Arabidopsis thaliana: one gene and its partner. The protein of the gene in region 2 interacts with the protein of the main gene of each other region in a pairwise test. Each region holds a gene or a part of one and is shown on either strand. Other genes may lie near its edges.

The links.
Region 1: the proteins of BBX26 (region 2) and ZFP11 interact in a two-hybrid assay, tested with the Arabidopsis thaliana proteins (one large-scale study listed by BioGRID).

Annotation. Positions count from the first base shown.
Region 1 is NC_003071.7:17,655,934-17,660,367, forward strand, and holds ZFP11 (zinc finger protein 11), read left to right. Parts: upstream 1-1,890; 5' UTR 1,891-1,934; coding exon 1,935-1,952; exon of another isoform or gene 1,953-2,074; intron 2,075-2,155; exon of another isoform or gene 2,156-2,156; coding exon 2,157-2,861; 3' UTR 2,862-3,043; downstream 3,044-4,434. Other genes in the region: VOZ2 (vascular plant one zinc finger protein 2), read right to left, coding at 1-28, 145-348. UniProt on the Arabidopsis thaliana protein: Probable transcription factor that may regulate cell division and growth.
Region 2 is NC_003070.9:22,215,653-22,220,265, forward strand, and holds BBX26 (B-box zinc finger family protein), read right to left. Parts: upstream 2,181-4,613; coding exon 1,425-2,180; downstream 1-1,424. Other genes in the region: AT1G60240 (NAC (No Apical Meristem) domain transcriptional regulator superfamily protein), read right to left, coding at 1-294.

The sequences.
Region 1 (4,434 bases), on a different chromosome or scaffold from region 2:
CCTCAAGGAATTGGCTAATACCTTCACCCTGCAACATGTTAAAGACCAAAAGAGCTAAATCTCAACCAAGCTTACAGATTCACTATTTTTCAAAGAATTGGAACCATAAACCATAGAGAAGTATGGTAATGGAGTAGGACGAACCAACAGAGAAGATTCAGGAGAAGGAGCAGTGAGTTCAGCTTGCCACTCCCGAATATTCTGAGAGATTTGGGCTTCTAAAAGCGCAAGGTCACCATGCCGCCCTTCTTTCCTAGCAGCTTGAAGATGACAGAACCTCTCCTGAAGTTCCCTTAGCTTCTCCTCCACATTCTGATGCGCCGATGTGATCTTCGGGTGGTTTGACATCTCCTCTAAACCCTGACCAAAACCATTCTCAAAAATCAACTAAAATCTTAACCACAAAATACCTTAATATTCCGATTCTCATGAGGAAGGAAACAAACACATTACCTTAAAACCAAAGCAACAGAGATTGGTATCTCTCTCTCCTTCCTCCGATCTCTGGCTATTCATCACAAACCAAAACTGATTACTTAATGGAAGGTATTGAGCAGAATTCACGACAACAACAAAGCAAAAAAGCATTTTTTTAGATCAACCCAATCCTAAAACAAACCATCAGTTCCATTAGAGTCTATACAAACAAGCAAAATTTCAACCCTAAATTCATGAAATCGAACAAAACCCTAACATGAGTCTGACTAATAAATCCATAAAATTGAGAAGAAATTCGGATAAAGTTCATACTTTTTCGATATGGATGGATACAGAGAGCTTCTTCTTCTGATGGAGACGAAGAAGACACCGGAGATATCGCGATGAAGAAGAAGAACAAGGCTAAGTTACGCCAGCAAACAGAGAGCGACGATTTTGATTTTCTCGTTTTTATTTATGAAACGCCGCGTTTCATCTTCTATTGAGGGGAGGGTGTCTTTTATGATTTTCCCAAAAACAAAATTAATAAAAAAAAACTTTTAAATTTTCCAAATTCAATAGATATGCATTAACTAGATGAAGATTATTTTTTCAATTCTTAGAGATTGGTCAATTGAGAAAACTTTAATGCTTGATTAAGGAATGAGAATAAAATTTGATAAGTTAAAATTTGTCACACAATATATATTTGACAACCGAAATTGAGTTCCTCAACCCATAAAGTTGATATGCTGATAGGGTTATAATTCTATATCCACCAATTTTGTTTACACTTGTCTAGATGTGGCATACGATTGTTAGCGTTACTGGTTTATTACTTAGTTTTAAAGTAATATGTAAGTTTTCTTAGTTATGGATATAAGCTGCAATAACTCTGAAGACATCAGGGACGTCATTGTCTATGTCCTTAATGCATACACAAGCCTTGTTTCTTTCCTTTACAGTTTCTTCTAATCAATGTCAAAATCAATTAGTAATAGTTTTGGTTTCTTTTGGCCCTCCATCACTATTCACTACAATCTCTCCATATCAAAAAACTAAACACATGTTCATATTTTTAGGCTATCTTGTGTGTATATAATAGATGTTCAAATATATATAATGAAGAGATTTGTGGAGCCAGAGATGGAATATGATGAAAATGAAATGGCAAGTTATCTCCCTGCAAGATTTTGACACAAAATATTAATGCAACACAGAGTTCCCATACCACAATAACATTGGTCTCAAGTAACTTCCAATTATAGTAACAAGCAGACACATTGCAGGCATATGAGCATCATGAGTTAAGTAGCCTCTATTCAATTCCTCTTTCTCTCCCTCTTAATCATGAAACTACCTCTTTGTCTCTTTCTTTCTCTCTTTTTATTTTATTTTTTTAAATAATTTCCACTCATGATATCTAATCGAACATAGCCTAGCCTATACTCATTATTCTCCAATATATCTGACCAAACATGTAACAGACTTAAACCCTAATAAATGATCATCCGTACATGCACCTCCTTCCTCAAGTAAGGATAAAAACCACCTTCTGTTTTTGTTTCCCTTTTGACTCTATATAACACATAGTAACTCCTCCGTAGTTACATTCTTCCTTAGTTCCTCATCAAACTCAAAAATCTCTATCTATACGGTTTTCATCATCCCCCACTCTTATTCTTTCTCACTTTTGAATTAATATATACATACATAACATCTTAGTTTATTTCATGCAGGGGAGTATCATACTATCTTCATCATTCACCACCAGCATTGATCATCATCTGTTGGAAAATATGAAGAGAACACATTTGGCAAGTTTTAGTAACAGAGACAAAACCCAAGAAGAAGAAGGAGAAGACGGTAATGGTGACAACAGAGTCATCATGAATCACTACAAGAATTACGAAGCTGGGCTGATCCCATGGCCTCCCAAGAATTACACTTGCAGCTTCTGCAGGAGAGAGTTCAGATCTGCTCAAGCACTTGGAGGCCACATGAATGTTCATAGAAGAGACAGAGCAAAACTCAGGCAGATCCCTTCTTGGCTCTTCGAACCTCACCACCACACACCTATTGCAAACCCTAACCCTAATTTTAGCTCTTCTTCTTCCTCTTCAACAACAACAGCTCATCTTGAGCCTTCCCTAACCAACCAGAGATCCAAAACCACTCCTTTTCCTTCTGCCCGGTTTGATCTTTTGGACAGTACTACTAGCTATGGAGGTTTGATGATGGACAGAGAGAAGAACAAGAGCAATGTATGTAGCAGAGAGATCAAGAAAAGTGCCATCGATGCATGTCATTCAGTAAGATGTGAGATAAGCCGTGGGGATCTGATGAATAAGAAAGATGATCAAGTCATGGGGTTGGAGCTTGGGATGAGTTTGAGGAATCCCAACCAAGTTCTTGATTTGGAGCTTCGACTAGGCTACCTCTAAATTCTTTTGATTAGCTAGTATTTGTACTTCAAAATTATATCTAGTATAATCATGTTTAGCTGAGCAGTACGTGAGCTAGAGATTGTGATTGCATTCAGGCTAATGGTATTAAATAGTATTAGGCTTAAATTTATTGGAAGTCAAAATGAAATTAAAGTTGAAAAAATCTCCATATGATTTTTTTATCAAGAGTGTTCAACAGTATATGTGTTATTTTCCTAGTTTTTTCAATCAAGAGAAGATTTTTAAAAGAAAACAACGATGTTATAATTTTTTAACTTTATTAATTGTGTTATTATTGGTTATAAATTTGTCAATTTCAATCATCCCTAATGTTGTTATACAATATGAAACTGTGTAGTAGAATTACGTGCAGTATAGAAGCTAGAAATTAGGATTAGAGAAAGTGGGTTGCATGTGTATGTGAGTATTAAGAAAGACAAAAAGTGATAAAGATTGCATTATTATAGAGATGGGTTGATGAGACACAGACGCATGCGACAAAGTGGTACTATGAAACATATAAAGATGGATGATGATCAATTGACTCATGAATAGTTAATGTTTTCATCTTTTACACTCACCATCACATCTTTATGTATAATTACATATATCTAGCATTTCTCATGCATGTCGTGAAAGCACTTAATGGTATGTGTGCGTGAAAAAAATGAAAACAATTTTCTCATTGTTGAGAAAAATGTCTTTAAATTATTCCACATTCAGTTTATATATAGTCGAAAGCCTGAAGAACCGTTGGAAGATGGAGAATTCAGAGTTGTGAATGTGACTTTGATCAAATTCGTGTGCCTAAACAAACGAGAGTTTGTTAATCAAATTAAATGCCAGGCTAATATCTAAATATGCCTCAGTCAAATTCAACCACTCATATTGACCAACAAAATGTTACTATTAAATTAAAACAATTTTATACTTCTTTGATTCATCACACGTGTGAGTGTGGATGGATATGTAGTTCAAAAAGAGACTTCATCCCTAGTTATTTCTTCAAATAATAATGTCTCTTTTCGAATATACAATCAAAAACCATTAAATTTGAACAATATTCAATTTTGATGGCATGTGATTATACTACTTTTTTTGGTCATGGAATTCAATACCATATCAACTATATTTATACTAAACATGAATGAATGTAGAGAGTACAGACAGATCAAGAGCCAAGAGTGTAGGAGACAAGATTAGAAAATTAGAAAACAAGTGATGTGAAAAGGAAACAAGAAAATGGAATGTTTGGTCAATACATTTGGGATGTTTGTGGTTTCCCCATGAACAAATTTAATCTGACATTTTCCATCTTCCCCAACAATTTTAATTTAATATATACAATCCATCATCACCTTTCCTTTTTTAGAATCGATCACTTTCCACTCTAATCTCTACGTTCCCTTCAATTCTTCCCTTTTCTATGAATAATAATTACAGTGAGTTTATTTGTGTTTGGGTGATGTGAAAGGTAAGAGATTTTCATCATGCAGCCTAATATTTTTCTACTTCTTACAAATGTATCCCCAAGTTTTAGTGTTTCTTACAATAATCACCTTCCGTTGCA
Region 2 (4,613 bases):
AATCTTCCCGGTCGTCACCGACTTGATCACTCTATCACGACCGATGATTCTCCAACAACCGTATTCACATCCATCGGTTAAACCTGAATTCACACTCCGATTAACGAAGAAGTATCGTCCGAAGTGTAGGATTATAGGATCTCTAGTAACGAAAAGCGTCCACGGATTCTTGCAGTACACGTCTTCGCTTCGGAGGAAGTGGCGAGGCCAAACGTTTACGTTATCGATCATCATCTTCAAATAATTTGCGACGATTGCTTCTTCGATTGATTGTTCACGTCTTGACTTCATCATCTTCGTTCTTCAGTGAAACTAAGATCTCTTAGAAGAAGAAGATTTAAGGAAAATGCTGATGATGATTGATGAAGGGAGAGAAACAAGAAACGGAAGATGTAAAATATGAAGATGATAGTGTTTCTTGGGAAAGAAGGTACTCTATATATAGAGAGGCGCTTCGTCATCTGTTGGTACCGTTTATATCAAATTAGTGAATTGACCGATTTGTCCTTTGTTTTTTTCTCTTCGATATATACACTTAACGAAATTATTCTATAATCTTTGCTTATTGAAATAATTAGACCGATAGTTGTCAATATTTGTATATTTTACTTTGGTTTAAAGATGTAATATTAAGTTCTTAAATAAGAACTAAATTAGATCTATTTAACAAAACGTGAAGAATTTGCATTTTTATTTCGTTCTTTCCTTTTACAAAATGACTATGTTTTCTCTTATTGAAGAAAATAGTCAGAAATAAAATATTAATAAAAATTATTTATTATACAAGCATATTTTCTTGCAGAACATCATGTAACTTTTTTTAACACAAAAAAGGTCATGTAAATTTTATTTGTACTATTTTTTGTCGTCATACTAATCAAAATCTTCTACTCTGCTTACTAATTGTGAGATATTCACGTAAAGTACAACAACAACATCAAAAATCAAGATAATTAGACGATTTTATTGAGAAAATCACATCCCCGGAAATATTGGAGTTGGTTCTTGACTTTCTTAAATAAAATTAAAATCGCAAAGTGAAATTTAATTTTATTGTTGAAAAAAAAATATTATTTAATTCCTATAAACCCCTTAAGCATCGATTGTTAATCAAATTAATTTGTGTTCTTAACATTTTAGCAAAATTGTTTTATGTTTTTTCGGTAATTGTGGTTTCTAGATAGTTTCTAGTTAAATGATGAGATATACATACATCAAGATATGATATCTTCCATCCTCGAACAAATTGGAGTTAGTTTTGACATTTTATTTTCTTCTAACATATTAAATCCAACTGATTGTTTTTTTTTTCTTCTTCTTTTCTTTTTCAAATCCAGAAGCAATTATAACACCAAGAATTAAACCCCTAACGAAAACTCTAAGAAACACACATAAATAAAAAGCTAAAGAAGACGATTTTCTATTCACCTACCAAACCAAGAAAAATCATCAACATCATCTAGATAATCATAATTAATATCTTGTTGAGGTAGTTCTGTTGGGGGCGTAACTGGAATCCCCTCTGCCGCAGGAGGATGAACCGGTGGGAAATTAAACTGATAGCCGCCAATGAGAAAACGGCGAGAAGGTCTCTTGCAGATTACGCAAAGCTTACACCTCGAATGCGGCGGCACCGCGTCCTCGTGACTGTGAATCATCCGGTCGCAACTATCGCATAGAATCTGGTTGTGTGTAGGACAATAAACAACAGCATTTGAATTCGAAGCTACGCATAACTCACATCTCATTGCAAACATCCATCTCTCGCAATTGTTATCCCCGTGGCAGCTCCTCTCAAACATCTCTGCTCTTCTTTGGTGACCACCCACATGCTGCTGCTGATGATTATTGTTATTGTTATGGTGAACCACATGAGGCATATGTGCATGATCATGGTGTTGATTATTCATGTTAGCGAAGACGACTTGAGTTTGATGGCCATTAGTGGCACAATTGTAATGGTGCGAATAACATGATTGACAAAGAACCATCCCGTCCTCATAACAGAAAAGTATAGACGGATACATCGAGCAGTTATCGCAAAGTTGGTAACGTACGTGTTCTGCATGTATGTTATTATGATGGCGAAGGTTGTCACATGTAAGGCAGAAGTTAAGAGCTTCTGTAACACAATGGATCACGGCTGTTACATGTCTACATGTGTGACAAACTTGAGCCATGTTTCCTGAAAAATATTCATATAAGATTATAACAAAATTATCAACTTCGCAAAACGGAAGAGAAGAAACACGAATTTAAAATAAAAAAAAACATTCAACTTACACGAACCAAGGAGAGAAGGAAGCCAAAGTTTTGTTTTCTCTGTGAAACAATCTGTGAAGCTCGTATTTAGATGGAGTTTCTAATTTGTAGATTTTTTTTTAACAAACTGATTATGTAGAAGGATATATTTTACTAAGTTATATACTTATCTTTAACTATAAATTATTCTCAAAATTCAACATTACATTTATTAATTGAGAATAAGAAAGAAAAAAGATAATTATATGATATTTGAAAAATTGATCCTTGTTTCTCATTTTTTTGTTAAGAATAAAGTTTTTTTTTTTCCTTTTATCGGATCTTAAAGATCAGTAAGAATAATGTCGTTTCTTAAATTTTGATGTAGAAATCTTTTTTTTTTGAAGAAAAAAATATCCCAACTTTATCAACATAACCAAACGGGGGACAAACAGGTAAATTAATGAGTTTTTTTTTTTTGTATAACTATTTTGCTTTAGAGTTTAGATTGTTAGCTTAGTACTTACATACTTAAGTTTCTGATCAGTCTTTGTTATGATTTTCACATGTAGGTAGGAAGCTGCGCTTTTGTTCTTTTTAATGTGGAAATGCAGCCTTAACAATGGATGGTATATGAATTTGAAGCTGCTCTTTTGTGTCTCTTTTTTGATGCGGATTAGCATGCTTTTGTGTAAAAAACAACTTTGCTAAGAGTTACTAACTATTCAAGTGTTTGTATGGTTCTGTAATATGGTTTTTTGATACAATGCTAGCTTGAACTTGATGTCATGCTTAGGCCTGGGTACGAATTTCTTTTTAGCATTTAAAAACGGGCAATTCTTGTATTCAGCATCTGTGATTTCTCATTATTTTGTCGTGTAAAGTTACTAAACTAGTTTAATTTAGAATTTATAGAAAAAAAGAAGTGGCTCTCATGACAAGTAGTCTAAATTCAGTAGAACATAAGAGTTATTTCATCACAGTACTAAGAGGAAGAAGAGAAGTTGCTCTGCAATTCCTTGATGCCTTTGGAATCAAGAAAAGAAGTTTTGCCCTTGAGAAAATCAGAGTACCAATGAGCAGAGAGTCTAGGAGATCTCTTGCGATGTGGATCACTGAAATTTACAGAGTACAATCCATAACCATAATCGTACCGCCCTATAAGCTCGAATAAATCCATAAATGACCATACAAAATAGCCTCTAGTGTCTGATCCATTCCTACACGTAGCAATGTCCTTTTCCTTAATTACACGAACAAGATAAGAGAAGAAAAGATGCAATAAAAAAACTTTACTTACCTTATGGATTTGAGCACACCACCAATGTAAGCATTCATGTATTCCACCCTATGTGTATCCTTGTGTTGCGTCATCGGTGTACCTGTTTGTATATGACATTTTAAGTCCAAATCAAAAACATGAGGGAGAGACGAATAAATTAATCATAGAAGAGATTGACCATTCTCAAGAATGTAGACAGGAGGATTGTCATAGCTCTGCTTTATATACTCTAGGACAGCTTCCATAGTCCACGGAGCAACAGGATACTTGTCCAAACAAAAACAAAACAAACAATGAAAGATAGATTAGTAGCACTTATTTGTTTAAAGACTTATAATGTCAAGGAATATAAGGTGTTTTGTATCTGAATTTGGTAGCCTTAAAACTCTTACCTCTATAACTGAAAAATTCCCAAGGTCTTCTAACCAGTAAAACGAAGAAAAAATGAGTAGTAACAAATTATAAAGATAAAAGAGGTTTTTTTTTTGTTATACAAAAGAATGAGTCTGATTCATACAAGTCACATATGCGCCCATGTCTGAGTAGAAGTCCGGGTTTCCAGAAATAGAAGGTTTGAATTTGATGTTTGTGACAGAAGCCGCAAACTAATGATTGATTCCTATGAAGTCAGATGAGCCTTTAACTTGTTCTGATTCTTCCTCTGAGAAAACTGGCAGTCTTGATCCAATGGTTCTTTTCATTGTATCTGGATAGTCTCCAAATATAAGAGGTCCAAGGAACCTGAGTTTTAAAGAGCAGATTTTCTTTCTTTTCAGCTTAAGATCTTGCACATGTTGCCCAATTTGAAAAACCTTTTAGAACTGTTTGTGCCTGACTCACCAACCGAAATAGAAATCTTTGGCTCTTTGAGTTGCAATGGCATCATCCTTGGAGCTTGTAGAAGGAGTCAACCCCATTAAATATAAGCCAAAGCCTATGGAACCACCCTGCTTATCCTGCACATTGTATATAGTATGTTGCTTCTTATACATTCAAAAGAGGGTTATGTATAAGCAAGTATACCTTGTACTTTTGCTTATATAGTCTTGAAGCAGAGGCGTGCGCAAGAAGTAAGTTATGGCCTACAATA